Danio rerio: one gene and its partners. The protein of the gene in region 3 interacts with the protein of the main gene of each other region in a pairwise test. Links are inferred from orthologs where the notes say so. Each region holds a gene or a part of one and is shown on either strand. Other genes may lie near its edges. The genes, in order: pex16, pex10, pex19, pex11b and pex12.

The links.
Region 1: the proteins of pex19 (region 3) and pex16 interact in binary tests that used the Homo sapiens proteins (3 or more experiments, as listed by UniProt). The link is inferred for Danio rerio from reciprocal best matches to the Homo sapiens genes PEX19 and PEX16.
Region 2: the proteins of pex19 (region 3) and pex10 interact in a two-hybrid assay, tested with the Homo sapiens proteins (4 studies listed by BioGRID and IntAct, with this or other methods). The link is inferred for Danio rerio from reciprocal best matches to the Homo sapiens genes PEX19 and PEX10.
Region 4: the proteins of pex19 (region 3) and pex11b interact in binary tests that used the Homo sapiens proteins (3 or more experiments, as listed by UniProt). The link is inferred for Danio rerio from reciprocal best matches to the Homo sapiens genes PEX19 and PEX11B.
Region 5: the proteins of pex19 (region 3) and pex12 interact in a two-hybrid assay, tested with the Homo sapiens proteins (4 studies listed by BioGRID and IntAct, with this or other methods). The link is inferred for Danio rerio from reciprocal best matches to the Homo sapiens genes PEX19 and PEX12.

The regions. Positions count from the first base shown.
Region 1 is NC_133193.1:47,886,228-47,889,745, reverse strand, and holds part of pex16 (peroxisomal biogenesis factor 16), read left to right. Parts: intron 1-1,810; coding exon 1,811-1,891; intron 1,892-2,987; coding exon 2,988-3,137; intron 3,138-3,518. UniProt on the Homo sapiens protein: Required for peroxisome membrane biogenesis. May play a role in early stages of peroxisome assembly. Can recruit other peroxisomal proteins, such as PEX3 and PMP34, to de novo peroxisomes derived from the endoplasmic reticulum (ER).
Region 2 is NC_133183.1:57,048,144-57,051,661, reverse strand, and holds the end of pex10 (peroxisome biogenesis factor 10), read left to right. Parts: intron 1-194; coding exon 195-367; intron 368-2,715; coding exon 2,716-2,848; intron 2,849-2,941; coding exon 2,942-3,010; 3' UTR 3,011-3,351; downstream 3,352-3,518.
Region 3 is NC_133177.1:40,112,219-40,116,350, reverse strand, and holds the start of pex19 (peroxisomal biogenesis factor 19), read right to left. Parts: upstream 2,801-4,132; 5' UTR 2,782-2,800; coding exon 2,538-2,781; intron 1,019-2,537; exon of another isoform or gene 37-1,018; coding exon of another isoform or gene 1-36. Other genes in the region: tspan37 (tetraspanin 37), read left to right, coding at 1-36. UniProt on the Homo sapiens protein: Necessary for early peroxisomal biogenesis. Acts both as a cytosolic chaperone and as an import receptor for peroxisomal membrane proteins (PMPs).
Region 4 is NC_133194.1:26,481,234-26,484,242, forward strand, and holds part of pex11b (peroxisomal membrane protein 11B), read left to right. Parts: intron 1-1,234; coding exon 1,235-1,436; intron 1,437-3,009. UniProt on the Homo sapiens protein: Involved in peroxisomal proliferation. May regulate peroxisome division by recruiting the dynamin-related GTPase DNM1L to the peroxisomal membrane. Promotes membrane protrusion and elongation on the peroxisomal surface.
Region 5 is NC_133180.1:67,482,245-67,486,518, reverse strand, and holds the start of pex12 (peroxisome assembly protein 12), read left to right. Parts: upstream 1-1,460; 5' UTR 1,461-1,650; coding exon 1,651-1,776; intron 1,777-3,794; coding exon 3,795-4,274. UniProt on the Homo sapiens protein: Component of a retrotranslocation channel required for peroxisome organization by mediating export of the PEX5 receptor from peroxisomes to the cytosol, thereby promoting PEX5 recycling.

The DNA of each region.
Region 1 (3,518 bases), on a different chromosome or scaffold from region 3:
TAGGATTTTTAATGACCACAGAGAGCCAGGACCTCAGTTTAACGTCTCATCCGAAAGACGGCGTTCACTAAGCAGTATGGAGTCCCCATCACTATACTGGGGCATTAGGACCCACAGAGACCGCAGGTTAAGCGCCACCTGCTGCTCTCACTAACGTCACTTCCGGCAGTAAACTAGCTTTCCCATCATACCATCTAGAATGGTATGAACTCTTTGAGTTAAAACTTGCTGTATAACATAAAATAATTTACATAGATGTGATTAGAAAAAGATAAGTGGTCTTAAAATTTGAAAATATAAAAAAAAAAGATCTACATATCAGACACAACTCTAAAAGCTATACTATACAGTACTACTATACTATACTTAAAAAATACCCAATAACAGCATTATATGTATTAATATATAGCCCTCTGGTGACCAAGAATAAAATAAAAAATGGAAATGTGCAAATATTTAAGAATAATGATAAAAGATATTGCAGATATTTTTATTGGAAATTATACTGGAGAATCTTCTGAAATCTATTGTGGTTAATAATTTAATATATTACAGTTTTAATCTTCTGTATATAAAAACACGTGATTACAGCACAAATATCAGTGGAAATCTGAGAATCACTCAGTTAGATCATTGTATTTGTTTATTAATATTTATTAGTTTTAACTAATGCTGGTATTTTGAAATAGACCATATTGTGAATTTATAAATAACAATACCTGCAAGTTTGAAGCGTACAAATATTATTATTAAATGTTATTAAATAAATTTAATCAAAGTGTATTAGAAAAAAACAAAGTTGTATTGAAAAAATATCACAATAATTAACCCTGAAAAAAGCAGCGCAAACACTACCAGGCTGCTGATGTGTTTGCGACAAGGAGGGACAAGGATGAATCCAGCTTCTTATTCAAAGCTTCTTATTGACGCTATCCGGTCCACCTAAAAACCGCGACGCTTTCTTTTTTCAGTTTCTTGTTCGCGCTCAAGAAAACACAGTTTAATCTAAGCAAGGGCTTATTATGCGGTCCTGGCACCATCTTGTGGAAAGACAACGTCTACTGTGTTTGACTAATGGAGACCAAAGCGCTGTCTCTTAGAAATTATAAATATTTTAAAATAGGCAATGCATACAGCATAGTTGCAATCATAACAACTACATTCTCGATTAAAACAGCCTCAAAAGTACATTATGTTGTCCAATAGGAGGAATATTAGTCAAACTGTAGAGCGTCCTCTGCTTTTATGTGGGCGGAGAAATACACAGAGGTGAAGAGGCCTTTGTGTGCTGTTACTGGCAAAATATCTCACAGCTATCAGCCAATCAGATTCAAGAACCTGACAGAACTGTTAAACCTAAAAAGAACCCCCTAAAAACTAATTTAATGACTTTTAATGCAGTTTACAATAAAAGTCATTAATAAATATAAGTCTTATAAATGTATCAGAAAACTTTGAAGTTCAGAAGTCAGAGTTAATTATTTTTAATCATTAACAGGAAATGAACCACACTAAAGTGTCTCTGGAAACCACAGCGCAGGACATTTAGCAGAGACACAACAAACAATTAACGCACAGCAATAATACAGAAATATTCCCACTGATGACAGTAAATAAACAGAGAGTGAGACAATAAGTCCAGCGTATGGCATGTGTAGATAAGCTGTGTTTGTGTGTTGTGTAGGGTTGTGCTCATTTGATTTGCCCTTGAACAGAAACACGGCAGTAACTTTGAGAAGCATCAGCTCTTGCAGTCTGTGTCAAAATAGTGATGTTTTGTTCATTCGTCACACACTTATATTCTACACAGACAACAATGAAGAAGAAGATGATGAAGACAGTTCTTTTGTGGGCCAGCGTTCAGGAAGAGTGGTCCGGCCACTGGGAAGTGGTAAGACTTTGTTTGTTTGGTTTGTTTGTTTTTTGTTGTGTTGCTTTGTTTTTGCTTTTATTCATTTTCTGTTTGTCTGTTTTGGGTTTTGCTTTGCTTTATTGTTTTGTACGTTTTTTTTTTGTTTTTGGTTGTTTGCTTTTAGTTGTGTTGTTTTGTTTTTGCGTATTCGTTTCCTTTTTGTTTTTTGTTTGTTTTGTTTGTATGTTTGTTTTTGTTGTGTTGTTTTGTTTTGTTTGTTTGTTTTTTTTTGTTTTGCTTTCCTTAATTGTTTTGTATGTTTTGTTTTTAATTTGCTTTGTCTGTTTTTGTTTATGCTTTTATAAATTTTTTGTTTAGTTCTGGGTTTTGCTTTGCTTTAATGTTTTTTGTTTTTTATTTTGTTTGTTTTTATTGTGTTTTTTGCTTTTTATTTGTTTTTGTTTTGTTAGTTTTGTTTTTTGTTGTATTGTTTTTTTTACTTTTATTATTTTTTTGTTTTGTTTTTCTTTTTGTTTTGTGTTTAGCTTTGCTGTGTATTGTTTTGTTGGTTTTTTTTATTTGTGTTTTGTTATTGCTTTTATTTGCTTTATTAAAAAATCAAAAATTGTCGGAAAATGCCTGATTTTTAATTATAACAAATGACAAATTTTTTCTTAAACAGTTACCAAAAATACGTAAGTCCTCTTAATTACATTTTTTTTTTTTTAATTTTGGAAGAAATATTTTCAGCTCTTTTAAAGAATAAAGCAAACATTAATATCTAAAATATATAATAATTAACTATATTAATTGGTATATAAACCAATATTGCCCAAACCCATTCCCAATGTGTTGAAAAAAATCTCTCCATTAAATAGAAATTGGGGAAAAAAATATAAAGGGGGCTAATAATTCTGCCTGTACACCTATACCTATATATTAATGATAAGAACACACAAAATACAAAATGAGAACTATAAAATTAAAATAACACAATCTTACATGCATTTCTAAATAGCTGGTAAAATACATGGTGGTCATTCTTGTAATAGTGTCCATTATTTATCCTTTAACCAAGTGTACAAAAATGGTTCCATGCCATTAAAAATGTGTAAGTGTATTTTTCTTTTTCTAGCACCATCATTACAGTCTCGTCTCTGGGGTCTCCCTCGGAAAAAGAAAGTAAGCAGGAATCAGGAAGAGGAGCTTTACTCCAGCCCGACTCCTCTGGGTCTGCAGGAAACCATCGCAGAATCCCTGTACATCGCAAGACCGCTTCTGCACCGTATCCTTCCTCAGTGTTTCACAACAATATCAGTGCAATATTAACCCAGAGGTGTAGAAACAATCTCAGGGGTGTAGGAACATCAATAAGTCGAAGTCATGTAGTTTTATTAGATTTTCACCATGTTCAGTCCACTACTGTTGTGTGATCGGCACATTGTGTGGCACATTTTTTTTTTTTCATAGCATAATCAAGTATTTCCAAGAAAACAAGATGATTTAATGTAGTAATTCTCACTTGTTTTGACTTGAAGGCTGCTTCTTTTTGTCCCAAGCACTATTTGAAGGCCAACACTTGTAGTCTCTAAATGGTGTTTCATGCCTGCAGAAGTGCTTGTGTTTTTCAAGGTTGCCGGCCTTTTGCATGGCTTTTAGTTGTTTA
Region 2 (3,518 bases), on a different chromosome or scaffold from region 3:
TTGAATGAATATGACTCTGCCTCGTCTTCGAACCGTGCTGTGCTGTAGATGCTTAATTTGGCCAACTGTTTATTATGGTGGTAGTTGGAGAGACAATTTTTTCTGAGGTGGTACTTGGTGAAAAAAGTTTGAGAACCACTGGTTTAGAGATTTAAATTGTCTACTCTGCGTAACTGTGAGTATGTTTTGTTTAGCTAAGAGTGGGAAATGCGTCCGGCGATGACCCCAGGATCAGTCACAGTTACCGTCTGCTGGGTGGCCTGTCTGTTCTCCAGCTGGCCATCACTCTCACACTGCAGTTCAACAACCTCAGGCAACGACAAAGAGCTCGGCATGAATGGAAACAGCACAGAAACCTTCTCCCCAGGTGTACAGCTCTGCACATAAAGCACTGCATGTTGTCTGATGATTCAACCTTTCATATTCCTACAGTTTTTTTATTAACTGTAAAAAATGCTTGGTTCCACACAATTTATTTATGTTGTCCCAAAACAAATCGATTAAGTTAACAAAAAAAACATCAAACTAAAACTGATAAATGTGATAATACTTTTCAGTTATGGACTTAAGCAAATATACAGTGCATACGGAAAGTATTCATAGCGCATTTCCACATTTTTTTGAAGTTACAGCCTTATTCCAAAATGGATTAAATTAATTTATTTCCTCAAAATTCTACACGCAATACCCCATAATGACAATGTGAAAAAATATTTTTTTAATTGTTGCAAATTTATTTTAAAATAAAAAACCTGAAAAAAAAATCACATGTACAGAAGTATTAACAGCCTTTGCCGTGAAGCTCTAAATTGAGCTCAGGTACATTCTTTTTGCACTGATCATTCTTGAGATGTTGCAGCAGCTTAATTGGAGTTCACCTGTGGTAAATTCAGTTGATTGGACATGATTTGAAAAGGCATACACCTGTCTATATCAGGTCCCTGGGTTGACAGTGCATGTCAAAGCACAAACCAAGCATGAAGACAAAGGAATTGTCTGTAGACCTCCGAAAAAGGATTGTCTCGAGGCACAAGGCAGGGGAAGGTTACAGAAAAATTTCTGCTTCTCTGAAAGTTCCAATGAGCACAGTGGCCTCTATCATCTGTAAGTGGAAAATGTTTGGAACCACCAGGACTCTTCGTAGAGCTGGCCGGCCATCTAAGCTGAGTGATCGGGGAGAATAGCCTTAATCAGGGAGGTGATCGATAACCCAATGAAAGGGTTGGGTATCGTTTTTTTTTTACGTTTTTTTTTTTCGATACCGGTGCTAAATCGATACTTTTAAAATGATACCGGTGCCTGAACCGATACTTTTGAGCCACAAAATTAGGGTGGATGACTCTAGAAAAATCTTTTATTTAACAAAATCTTTAAAAAAAAATCTTTTATCAGAACAATATAATTTAGACATGCTCCAACTCTACCTGTTTTTAAAAAGCGTTTGAAACACCATCTTTGTTCTTTAGTATTTGAGCCTTTTTAATGTTGAGGGATTTGCCTTATGTTTTAATTGTTATTTATGTGATGTAGATTTCATGTTTAGTATTGATTGTGTTCAGCACTTTGGCCAACGTTGTGTTGTAAAAAATGTGCTATATAAACAAACTAAACTAAACTAATTAAAGTTTTAAGTAAACATCAATTCAAATTTTATATATTTAAATTACATTAATATATTGTCTTTGATGGAGTGAATGCCAGGCGTTACGTCCGGAGAAAACCAGACACCGCTCATCACCAGGCTAACATCATCCTTACAGTGAAGCATGGTGGTGGCAGCATCATGCTATGGGGATGTTTTACAGCAGCAGGAACTGGAAGACTAGTCAGGATAGAGGGAAAGATGAATGCAGCAATGTACATCCTGAATGAAAACCTGCTCTTGACTTCAGACTGGGTCGACGGTTCAACTTCCAGCAGGGCAATGACCCAAAGCACACCGCCAAAATATCAATGGAGTGGCTTCACAACAACTTGGTGAATGTCCTTGAGTGGCCCAGCCAGAGCCCAGATCTAAATCCTATTGAGCATCTCTGGAGAGACCTGCAAATATCTGTACACTGTCGCTTCCTATCCAACCTGATAGAGCTTGAGAGGTACAGGAATGGGCAAAAATTCCCAAAGACAGGTGTGCCAAGCTTGTGGCGTCTTATCCAAAAAGACTTGAGGCTGTTATTGCTGCCAAAGGTGCATCAACAAAGTATTGAGCAAAGGCTGTGAACACTGATGTACATGTGATTTGTATATATATATATATATATATATATATATATATATATATATATATATATATATATATATATATTTATTTATTTATTTATTTATAAATTTGCAACAATTTCAAAAAATCTTTTTTCTTTTTTCTCATTTTCATTATGGGGTATTGTGTGTAGAATTTTAAGGTAACAAATGAATTTAATCAATTTTGGAATAAAGCTGTAATATAAACAAATGTGGAAAAAGTGAAGTGCTATAAATAATTTCCCTGAAGTGCTATGAATAATTTCCGGATGCACTGTATATATGATCAAATTTTTTTCTTCCTTCTGTTATTGTGTGTTTTTATTTTCCAGCCAATCAGAATCTATATTTTTTTCATCTTCTTTTTTAATTACTGACCATTGTATTTTTTTATCATCTTTTCTGAAGTCCTTAAATGAATCGTTTGTTATTTAATGCTTTCTCTCGTTACTCATTCGCCGTTTTTCTCTTCAGTCATCAGGTCAGTCAGTCGTCGTCTCGCACTTCACGCTGTATCTTGTGTTTGGAGGAGCGCAGAAACACCACCAGCACTCCCTGCGGCCATCTTTTCTGCTGGGAGTGCATTACCGAGTGGTGCAATACCAAGGCAAGACCTTCATATAGCTGTGAAGTGATGCTGTGAAGTTTAACATTACCGATGTCTGATCAGTTTTTTTTTTCTTGGTTTCTTTCATCGTAGAATGAATGCCCGCTGTGTCGAGAGAAATTCCAGCCTCACAGATTGGTTTATTTGAGAAGCTACAAGTAGACCTTGAGGTGATCGTGATGGAAATTTGACTCTGTTGCTTTTTCACATTCTCTCAGGGATTGCAAAACAGACAGTAATTTAAGGATTTCATGATTTGGGAATTATTAAGTGTATTGTTTTGTGCAAAACAAGACACTTTTACACATTTCAATCTGATACATTTTCTTTTAATTATGTTTAATTTTGTAATTATGCAGATGTTTACTGTAAAAAAAAAATGCACACATTTTCTTCAACACAATTGTTTCATGTTGTCTCAATGCAAATCAATAACACCATCTTAATCCTTCTTACAATTTTAAGTTGATTGAATATAAAAACATTTAAGTTGTCCCTAAAAACGCACTGTGAACTGTATTGTTTCAAACTAAAAAAAAACTGTGTGCTGTGTTCTGTTGGGGATGTTTTCATTCCCTCTGGGGTGATTTTGTGTCTTAATTTGGCCACAACTTTCTCTCCGTTTTAGCAAATGGAATTATTTTTGCAAAGCCATGAAACCAAATAATCA
Region 3 (4,132 bases):
GTCCCACAAGAGTATCGAATTCTGGACCAGGACTAAAAACATCCAAATATCTTTAAACAATATTCCTAAATGCCTGCATATTACATTTTAATGTCTTTTTATATATCACTTGTTATTATCTATTCTAATACATAAAGCACTCCATGTTTTCCTGAATTTCTAAGGTGTGACTATTCATATTTTTATAGATGTTTTATTTACACACCAAGGCATTTACTTTGCACAATAAAATAGATACTACTGAATAAAAAATTTGTTTGTTTTTTAATGTTGGCTACAAATGCATTGCTGGCTGTTGGTAAAAATGAAGACAATGGGGTATATGCACACAGATTTTTAATTTCAGTCAGCCAGAATCTAGTTCATGCTCTATGGTCTTGTACAAAAAATTCTAGATTTCTGGAAAAGAGTTCATAAACACATTTGTTTGGTTGTAGATTTTTATATCACATTATGCCCTAGACTATACTAGGTGGTTAGGTGGTTGGATAGACATTGAAATAAAAAATTAAGACATAAAATCCTGGGTCCAAACCAGTTTGCTGATTGGGAGACAAATAATTCTCATGAGTTTGAAATCAGAGGATGCCCCTTCCCTTCAAAAATGGCCGGTAGAACTTGCTAGAGTGGCCACATTTGGAAGAAAATGTCTTATAAGCAAATGGACTAAAGCTAAACCTAAACTATAAAACTGGTCCAAGTACTTAACCTGTTTGTAAATGGAATAGTAATAAATGTGTGAGAAACATACTGATTGTGACAGTGTAACTGTGATATGTTATTGACTGAACTTACCTATTCATTTTTTTTATTGTATTTTATTTTCTCTTTATTATATAAAGATGGAGGCTTTAACTGTATTTAATGACAGCTAAGCCGAGACCTTAAAGTCGTAGTTAGGGATTAGTTTGGGTTGGGTTTGTTAATAGGGTAAACTGTTGGTTCTTTACAGAGTTATATACTGTATTCCATTCTGAAATTTGCCCGAGAATCAATAAAACTATTAAACTCTGAAAAATCTGTGATCATCACTGCCTGATAGATATCCGGGATAAAGTGGGTCTCAGATTGGATGAGAAGCACTGCACAGCCATGTCTTTAAAACATTTATTTTACCACAGTATTTTCAATTGAGTCTCTGCGCTAGCCTGCTGCTAATGACGGCCCCTACCTTTATTTAAATGGTCTTACATCCCTTTTTACTCTTTAACAACCAAAACGAATGCTTAAGTCTATTTAACCGATTATATTTGAATCACATTACGACATTGATGCGGTAAAAAGAACCGTATGAAACTGAAAATAGTCACATACACCTTTCACTGGAAATTCATTAGCTGAAAAACAGCTGTGCATATAGACCATTGTTCAACAAGACAACATTTTTAAAATCAGATTTAAGTTCTCATTTTTCCTGTATCATGAATTTTGTTTCATTGCAGGGCAAATATCACACATTTATTTGGGTCAGCAGAAAAAAATGCTAATTATATTTTGTGAAAGTATTTCAGAGCTTCAACTACTTACAGACCCGTAGCCAGAGTGGATTTGTGTAGTTCGAAAGACCCACCCCCCCCACAGACAAAGGTCCAGATTTTGTATCATACGTGAGCTCATTTGTCCCATTTTGATTGCTAAGCCATCATAAATTGTGAAATTAAGATATCAATAGCTTTAAGACCAAGCAGAATGTGTCATAAATGAAGTCATCTTTCACCACTGACATATTGTATTGTTGTTAAATAGCAAAAACATTTTACAATGAACTTTTATTCTAAGTCTTGAACCTTATTTTTGAAAGAAAAAATGACCAATAAAAAAGTGTAAAGCACCTAGACGTTAATTATAATAATGATTTGACTATTGTTGTAATCGATGAATTTTCAAATGTACTATTTTTTACAAAAGAGGCTGGAAAATTGTCAAGCTCTACATTATTATCATTACTGTTTTAATGATTCAATATTCAAATGGAAAAATTCTGCCTGAGGAAATTGAATTTGATGCTCAGTTTGTTATTTGCCTAATAAATGACAACCATTTTAAATTTAAAACTTTAACAGATTACATTTTTTTCTAATTATATAGGATAAGTTAGGGTAATAAAGTTAAGTATATTAAGTTAAAAATAAGTATTTTTTCTTCATGTTTCTTCATTTTAAATCTTTAGTAAATATTTTTAGTACATCAAAAAGTGTGGTATGTTGACCATCTGATAAGCTAATCCAGCTAAAATAATGCTTAAAATATCTCTAAATCAGCATTTAAACCTCACAATTAAAAAGAAAATGAAGCGAATAACTGCAAAAAGGTCCACTTTTTAGAAAAAGAAAACCATCCCTTTCACCAGGCTGGCTACGAGCCTGATTTAGACTATATCAAATATCGGCCAGTGTCAACGTATTTATTCATCTACTGTATTTTTTGTCATTTTCTACAATGTTTATTCTTGCTATTTGTTCTTATTCCTCGTTTGAGTGTGTTCGTCTTGTTCGCATCATGACGGGAGATTCTTTAGATGCTTCATGTTTACTTACTTGTGCTGTAAAATCTTCCCCCAAATAAAAAGAAATGGAAAAACGACAATAGAAGAGACAAAAACACGTAAAAACTATCTAGTTGTATCATAAGCGGCGGTTTATCTGCATTTGAATGGATTGCGAATGTGGGAGGGGTCGAGACTTCCGCTTCCTCTGCTGAGCTCCCTTGTGGCGTGTTTTTTGTGTCACAAGAGCGCAGCGCCAAAAAGCCACGTTCCGCTAAAGCTCCGCGTGCGTTCATTCATCTGCAGATTCGGAGAGACGTTGAAGTCGGTAAGGGTCCAAATATACATGTAACGTGTGTTTATGTCTTTAAAGTTGCGTTTAATCGTGTTTATCAGGGTTTAGTAACGTTATAACCCCTTCGGTGTCTGAGGCCTGGCTTTATGCGGGTTAGGCCTCTTAGCGCAGCCTGCTCGAGTTTGAACTCGAGAGTTGCATGGGATTTACAGGACGAGTCATCGCGAAAATACGGGGACGGTGTGTGGGGATTGAGGCCTCGTGTTGGATGCTGTTTTGATGTTAGATATATTTTGCAGCCTTTACTTACATTTTTAAGCATGCTGTGTAATTCTACAAGGTTGTATTTCTGTAGCTAAGAGACGAAACCTTAACAATGGCGAGGTAATCTTACACCAGCATGACCGGAAGAGCGACGTCCTGCTGCGGGCGGCTTGTAAAATGTACGCCCCCACGACTAGACTGAATTACAAAAACTCTTTGTTTCATTTATGAGAAACTAACAGAGGCAGAAAAGTGTAGCGAGTGTTTTTTTTTATTCCAGTGCTTTTTTAGTAACGTCCACCGCCTTAAATGTTGCATAAATTGTGTCGTGAACAAATGAATGAAATGATACCGAACTGTACCTGGAGCCGCTTTGTTCACTCAATAGGTGGAGAGAAAATGTTTTCTCACGTTGTCTGCTTTAATTTATGATTATAATTGTTCATTTCTTTATGAAAAGGAATGTATAACGTATTGTGTACTTGAAAAATGTTTCACAAAATGCGAGATTTTTTGCCATGACAATGTGGGTCTGAAGAGAGAAATGAAATGTATTTTACATTTGTGTAAATGTGGTAATACAATTTGGGTAATATTTATGATTATTTATGATTATACGCCTTTATTTGTGGACAGTTTCATCTCTACTTCTGGAGAGGTCTGTAGAATAGAAATTCACTGTTGTTATGTTGAAAGGAAAGCAAATGTGTAGAATAAATAATTTATTGTATAGTGTAAATTATGCATGAACAAAATTCTACAAAATGAAGAATAATTACAACAATACTTACATTCAACACCATTAAACAACAATAAAAAGCCATTGAGGAATAATATACAGGTAAGACAACATAGGTCTGTAAGTAGGCATGGGATGATAACCAGTTTCAAGGTTTGGAAAGGTCAAGGTGGGTTTTTTTTTCTTTGTTTTTTATAAATGTGTAGTAAAGAAATCTGTGTTTGAAATGAGGCTGGGTTAATAATCTATATTAAATCAAATCTTGATAATTAGTCAATAATAATAAGCTCTGGACTTTTTTCCACTCTATATTGATCTAAGAGCCGATCACACAGCAGAAAATGCAATA
Region 4 (3,009 bases), on a different chromosome or scaffold from region 3:
CTACTATTGTACAGTGTTGCCATTTGGAAACACATACATTTAAACGATTTACAGAAAACTTAATAAAAAAAAAAAAGAATGAATATGATGAACGAATGAATATGTCATCATAACTTACTGGAGGTGATGTTTCAGATTTTTTTTATGGATCTGACATGAGTTGTTGTTTATTGATGTTTACATTTGCATTCAGCAATACTCGCAATAAACGCCAGTCTGTGAGAAATCATGCCACAGAAAAACACTGCATGTCATGTGGCTTAACCAAAGCACATCATTGGCTACACTAAGGTCTTCTCTTTCCAAAAAAAAAACTTTAATATTGGTCTTAAAGAAACAATGGCAGGGAAATTAAAGCAAATATCATGTCTTTGGCAACACCATGCAGTATATATAATAAAATATCCATCATAAGCACAGCAAAGCTGTACATATTAGGGTAAAAATACGATAAAAAGTAGCTGGTACACTATATTCATCATTATAAAGCTGTTTTAGTTTGAATTTTTTTTTTCTTTGTTTGATATATAATACAGTTTTATTGTGTACTGATATTACTGTATGTCTAATACAGTGGCTTTCTTCTAGTTTCCCCTTAAGTCCAAAAACATGCGGTATAGGTGAATTTGGTAGGCTAAATTGTCCGTAGTGCATGAGTGTGAATAATTGTGTTTGAATGTTTCCTAGTAATGGTGGGTTGCAGGCGAAAGGGCATCTGCTGCGTAAAACTTGCTATATAAGTTGGCGGTTCATTCCGCTGTAGCGACCCCAGATTAATAAAGGGACTAGCCCGAAAAGAAAATGAATGAATGAATGAATGAATGAATGTCGAATAATTGTATGGCATGAAATGATGTTCTCACACAGTAGAGCTTCTATATATGGTACAGAAAATATTTTTTTTATATTTACAAACTTTGTTGTCTCACTGATATAGCTTAAAATAAGTGCTGGTTTATTTTTATACAGATATTTATTTGAATGGTCTGTTATAAAAATGTGAAATTTCATGACATGCTCAAAATGTCATATATTTAAAAAAAATGTATGTGAAATTGTTGAATCTTTTCACCCCACATTGTTCTCCAATGTAAGTTTCATATAAGCAACTACAGTGCATACTACAGTACATACAGTATGCCTCCTAAAAACTCACAAATTTGATTTGTGATCATACACATCCTCAATGTTAATATGCCTCAGTGTTTGAGTGCGTTTTGTGTGTTTTTGTCAGTGATGTGGTTGGGAAACTCAGCTGAAGCTCTGGAAGCCGCCAAACGCACTGTTCATCTGTCAGACTGTGTGTTGCGTCTCTGCATCACAGTGGCTCATTTGAACAGAGCCATGTATTTTGCCTGTGATAATGTACTGTGGGCCGGAAAAACAGGACTGCTGCCTGAACTGGACCAAAACAAATGGAGCCAGAGATCATTTAGGTGTGTTTTTTTTTTTTGTCTACTTTAAACCTGTTCCTTTTATTAAGTGAATAATTTAGTTTAAAAATGTTATAACCAGACATTAACTTGACATTTGATGTTTATTTTGTATTAGTATTTTTAATGAGTAAATAGTTTCTATATTTAATTTAGGTTTTAAATAAGACATGTAATTTTGGCATTTTCATCTAATACAATTTAGAAAGCATAAATGCAAGTAAAGTGTATCATTTTTAAGTTTTTTTATTATTATTATTTTAAAATGTAGGTCAAATAATGATTTGATGAGATTGCAAACTGAACAACAAAATATGCTGAAATGGACTCAAATCATCTTACTAAAGTTTTATTATATTTTTAATTATTAAAGTCTTGCTGTCAAATGGATAAAACTTAAAGTATAAGTATAGAAAGATAAAGTATAAAGATTTAAAAATACAATTCATTTGTGTTTTGTAGCTTAAATTGTCTTTTTTAAATCAACTACACTAAAAGTCTTTAAATATAATGCCATCAGTTAATTTTAGTTTATATGTCTTCCAAAATTTTAATATGTCATGCAGGCAGTATATATAAAGTAGATCAATAACAATAATTTAGTATGAGATTTATTTAGATTACTTTTATAATAAATGAAGATTGATGATTTTTCTGCTAATTTAAACGACTATAAAAGCAGCCACCAGGGGTCGCCAATAAATTAAAATGTAAATTTAAAGGGATAGTTCACCCAAAATGAAAACTGACAGTATTTGTTAGGGGTGTAACGGATCACAACCCACAGTTCGGATTACACGTGACCCCCAGATAATTTTTTTTTTAACCTATAGGTTAATTTGATATTCATAATGATTGCACAGAGATCACCTCACACGTCATTCAAATCAGTGTATGAAAGCATTTTGACTTCCCTGTAATATATAATGATGACAAAAAGTTGTGATGGGACCCACCTAAATGCTTTCTTAGGTTATCTATTAAATATGTGTTTTTTTGTCACTGTTTGTTTAGCCTAGGCTAATGCATTCAGTGTAAGCTGCACAATTAAACATTAGAAGATTGTGATCTCAATTCAAACCCGCGCAACATGAATGATAAATGATAATGATTTGCATATGTTTATTAATCCTTCAAAGCAATGCGTTCAAATCTGCATATTATCGAGAGAGATGCAGTTTTTACACTTTTTGTCAGTTTGTCACAAACAATTAAAAAGCACAGAAGAACTGGGAGAACAGTTTATAGTCCAGATATAAACACTGATATTTATGGTAAAGATTAAAATCAACATTTAATGGAACTTGACGCTGGTGAATGTTGTAGCAATTGCATTGTGCAACCAACCATCCAAATGATGTCACTGAATAGGTTTTCAAAAAACGATCCAAAACATAAAGTTTAATGTGAAAATTGTTGAATCATTCATTGAAAATAAATATGTTGTACGAGATGTTAGATTTCTATAATTATCATTATCAGAAACAGTAGCAAAGATCATTTTTCGTATTGAATATTTTCCTTTTTTTTTAGCTGGTTCTTTTTTTATTTTTATTTGATTTAAAAACAGGTTCTA
Region 5 (4,274 bases), on a different chromosome or scaffold from region 3:
TGGAGCACCCGGAGGAAACCCACGCGAAGGCAGGGAGAACATGCAAACTCCACACAGAAACGCCAACTGAGCCGAGGTTTGATCCTGCGACCTTCTTGCTGTGAGGCAACAGCACTACCTACTGCGCTACTGCCTCGCCTCATATCGAACATTTCGCTATTTAAATTTCAAAATGAACTACCAAAATAAAACACATTAAAGTGCCTGTGGCATTAACTATACCATACAGTCTTGCTCAGAAAGGATTAAACACAGTGACAGAACCACTTAGTGAATGTACTCATTTAAACTGCCAGAGTCACTGTTAGAGATGGAAACATCAAGTGTTGTGGTATTTTAAAAAAGCCTTATTTATTATGAATCAGATCATGAAATGTGTGAATTAGCCTGTAGTTTTAATGTTTATATATGTTTAAATTCACAGTTTAATTAGAAAAGTGGCTGTTTTGATTTTTTTTAAACATGGAAGCAAAAAATGTACTTGATTATAGAAAGTGGTTTTTACTACAGTAAACAGGTGTTTTAAGCCTATTTGGCTCATTCACAACTCAAACGGCTATCTAAACATAATAGTTATAATAACTCATTTCTAATAACTGATTTATTTTATCTTTGCCATGATGACAGTAAATAATGTTTTGCTAGATATTTTTCAAGACACTTCTACAGCTTAAAGTGACTTAAAGGCTTAACTAGGTTAATAAGGTTAACTAGGCAGGCTAGGGTTATTTGGCAAGTTATTGTATTAAGATGGTTTGTTCTGTAGACTATCGAAAAAATATAGCTTAAAGGGGCTAATTATTTTGACCTTAAAATGGTTCATAAAAAATTAAAAAACTGCTTTTATTCTAGCCGAAATAAAACAAATAAGACTTTCTCCAGAAGAAAAAATATTATCAGACATGCTGTGAAAATTTCTTTGCTCTGTTAAACATAATTTGGGAAATATTTAAAAAAGAAAAAAAAATTCAAACAGGGTTTAATAGTACTGATTGCAACGTTATGCATGTATGTATGCATGTATGTATACACACACAATTTAGTTTATCCAATTCAACTATACCCGCATGTCTTTGGACTGTGGGGGAAACCGGAGCACCCAGAGGAAACACACACAAGTTTGAGGAGAACATGCAAACTCCACACAGAATTGCCAATTGACCCAGCAGGGGCTCAAACCAGCGGCTTTCTTGCCGTGAGGCGATCGTGCACCCCACTGCGCCGCTGTGACGCCACAGGTTGATATATGCAAGTGATTCATTTGATTCATCTTTAAAGGATTTATTCATATGATTCCTTTGGTTCCTTTTTATCTAAATTCAATTGTCCTATAAAATGTAAAACTCTACGAAATACACACACAGATTGTAGGTCTACAGTAGATTATCATGAACCCTCCAGCACAGCAGGTGTCAGTACAAACCCGTTTTATTGATGTTAAAGCCCCAAGAAGAAAACGCGTCTGACAGGGAAAAAAAAGTGTTGCGACAGATGATGACCGTTGACCAGTGCGTTGATTTCCAGCACTGTAACTCTCCTGAATTATTTTGTTTGGTAAAATGAGCACCATTGTCCTCATTAAAAGGCTCGACTGACGTACCTGTAGGAAGGCGTTATTGTTGTTTGCAGTAGTTTTCCTCATCAGGTGTGATGGCGGAGCGAGGAGCTCATTTAACCACAGCTGCCCCGGCTGAAGATCGACCCTCAGTGTTTGAGGTTTTAGCGCAGGACTCTTTAATGACCGCTGTCAAACCCGCTTTACTGCATGCTGTCAAGGTATGCTCGCTTTTTCATCATACTGTACTCCTGCATTTGTACTCCTTGAGTTTTGGACTGTGACGATAAATAGCGCATGGATAAAATAAATAGTCCATTTTCCCATATTATGCTCCATCGTTTACTTTGTGGCTTCTTTTTTACGGTAAAACTATCAGAATTTATGTAGGCGCATTATTACACGCCATTACGGGGATGCTGACTGAAACATCAATGACAGCATCGTGAGGAAGTTGCAATCAAATACAGTGTTTAGCAATGAGGCGAAAACAGTAAGATCAATATGAAACTACGTAAAGCGTCATTAGGAGGTAAAGCAAAAAATTGCTATTATTGGGCAGGGTTTCACAGGAATATAAGGATCCCTAGATAGTATGTCAAAGAAAGAAGATCAAAAGGAACTCAATTTAGGGCAGGTGTAAAATGTGCCTGTCTGGTTTCTTCATAAAGACTATGAGTACACTTGTAAAACACTAGTGTAATAAATGTGTCCAAAACATTATTTGGAATGTATTTCCTTTGTATTATTAATAATAATCTATTTAAAATATTACTTGTAGAATGATTCCTTTCTATTAAGGTAAAGTACAGTAAATGTATTATTTATACGTGTATATTAATTACATATATACAGTTCTCAGCATATATGAGTGCACACCTCACAGATCTCTCAGTTAAATTCACATTTTCAATAGGATGCTTTACAATATTTGTGCAAATATATTAGATTAGTCAGTTCTGAAGCCAAATTTGGAGCTAATCTAACAAAAAACTTATTACAGTCCAAAATTGGTACATACAAATGTATGTTTGGGAAAAACCATTAAATAAAGATAAAAAAGAGAAAAAATCAAGAGAAACAAAAAAATCTATAATATTTTGTTAAAATTTTGTAATTTGTTTATATTTTCTGCAATATGTCCCATAAATAATGTATCGTCCTTCCATTTCTAAAGATGTTCGATGACTAAAGCATTATTTCAATAAACATATCGGTTATGTACCAAAATATATGACCGTTATTCTCTTAAAAATGGATTAAAATATTAATTTTGCAAATGGGGTGTACTCATTTATGTTGAGCATGATGTATATATATATGTGTGTATGTATATATATATATATAGTGTACGTGAGTGCTGTAAAGGTATCAAAATGTAAAATTGTGTCGTAAAATCTAAGGTCTGCTGCAATTAACACTATTGGTGTGTCTAGCGTAATAACCCCAGGGGTCCCAATCCAATGGAAAAAGAATTAAAAGGCTAGAGCCTTTTTTTTGCATGTTGTTATTTTATGCAACTCATTCATTTTCTTGTCGGCTTAGTCCCTTTATTAATCCGGTGTCGCCACAGCGGAAGGAACCTCCAACTTATCCAGCAAGTTTTTACGCAGCGGATGCCCTTCCAGCCGCAACCCATCTCTGGGAAACATCCACACACACATTCACACACACACTCATACACTAAGGACAATTTAGTCTACCCAGTTTACCTGTATCGCATGTCTTTGGACTGTGGGGGAAACCGGAGCACCCGGAGGAAACCCGCGGGTTTTGCAGGGAAAACGCAGGGAAAACATGCAAACTCCACACAGAAACGCCAACTGAGCTGAGGCTCGACCCAGCGACCTTCTAGCTGTGAGGCGACAGCACTACCTACTGCACTACTTCTTCGATTTGATGCAACTAATAAATACTGTTTTTATCTTCTGTAGGTTATGGCTAAAATATGGTTATTCTAATAGTTTAATAACATATATGATATTTTTGGAAATCACCAAGCAACCCCTCCTCATTGTCTCATGACCCCCACTTTGGGAACCACTGGTGTATACTGCTAGCTCCAAGTAAAGCCAGCAGGCATAAGTCTCATTTAAAGAGATGGTATCAGATTGGTTTATGGTTTCACAGATGCCAGAATTTTTGCAGTATCAGCAAGTATTCCTGATACTAGTATCGGTATCGGAACAACCCTAAAAATATCCTTAAAAAATGTAACTACCGTATTTACATTCCACAGATTCTCGCTACATCTAACCCTGCCCGCTATGGAGTTCTCTGGAGGAGGTTTGATGAGATTTACGTAATCCTGGATATGTTATTGCAGCATCACTTCCTGTCCCGCACCAGCGCCTCATTTTCAGAGAACTTCTATGGCCTGAAGCGTGTGGGATCACATAGTGCCCGTGCTGCCCATTTGGGACTGCGGCGGAGGCAACACTGGCGCTCTTTACTCCTGCTGGCCCTCATTCCATACCTGCACACCAAACTGGAGAAAATCCTGGCGCGACAGAGAGACGAGGACGATTTCTCCATCCGCTTGCCGCAGTCCTTCCTGCAGAAGATGTACAGGGCGTTTTTGGCTGCGTATCCTTTCGTGTGCATGGCGTGGGACGGCTGGGTCTTCTGCCAACAGCTTTTGTACGTTTTCGGCAAAACACGGACACATTCTCCACTTCTGTGGCTTGCCGGGGTTAAACTGTCATATCTCACGGCTAAT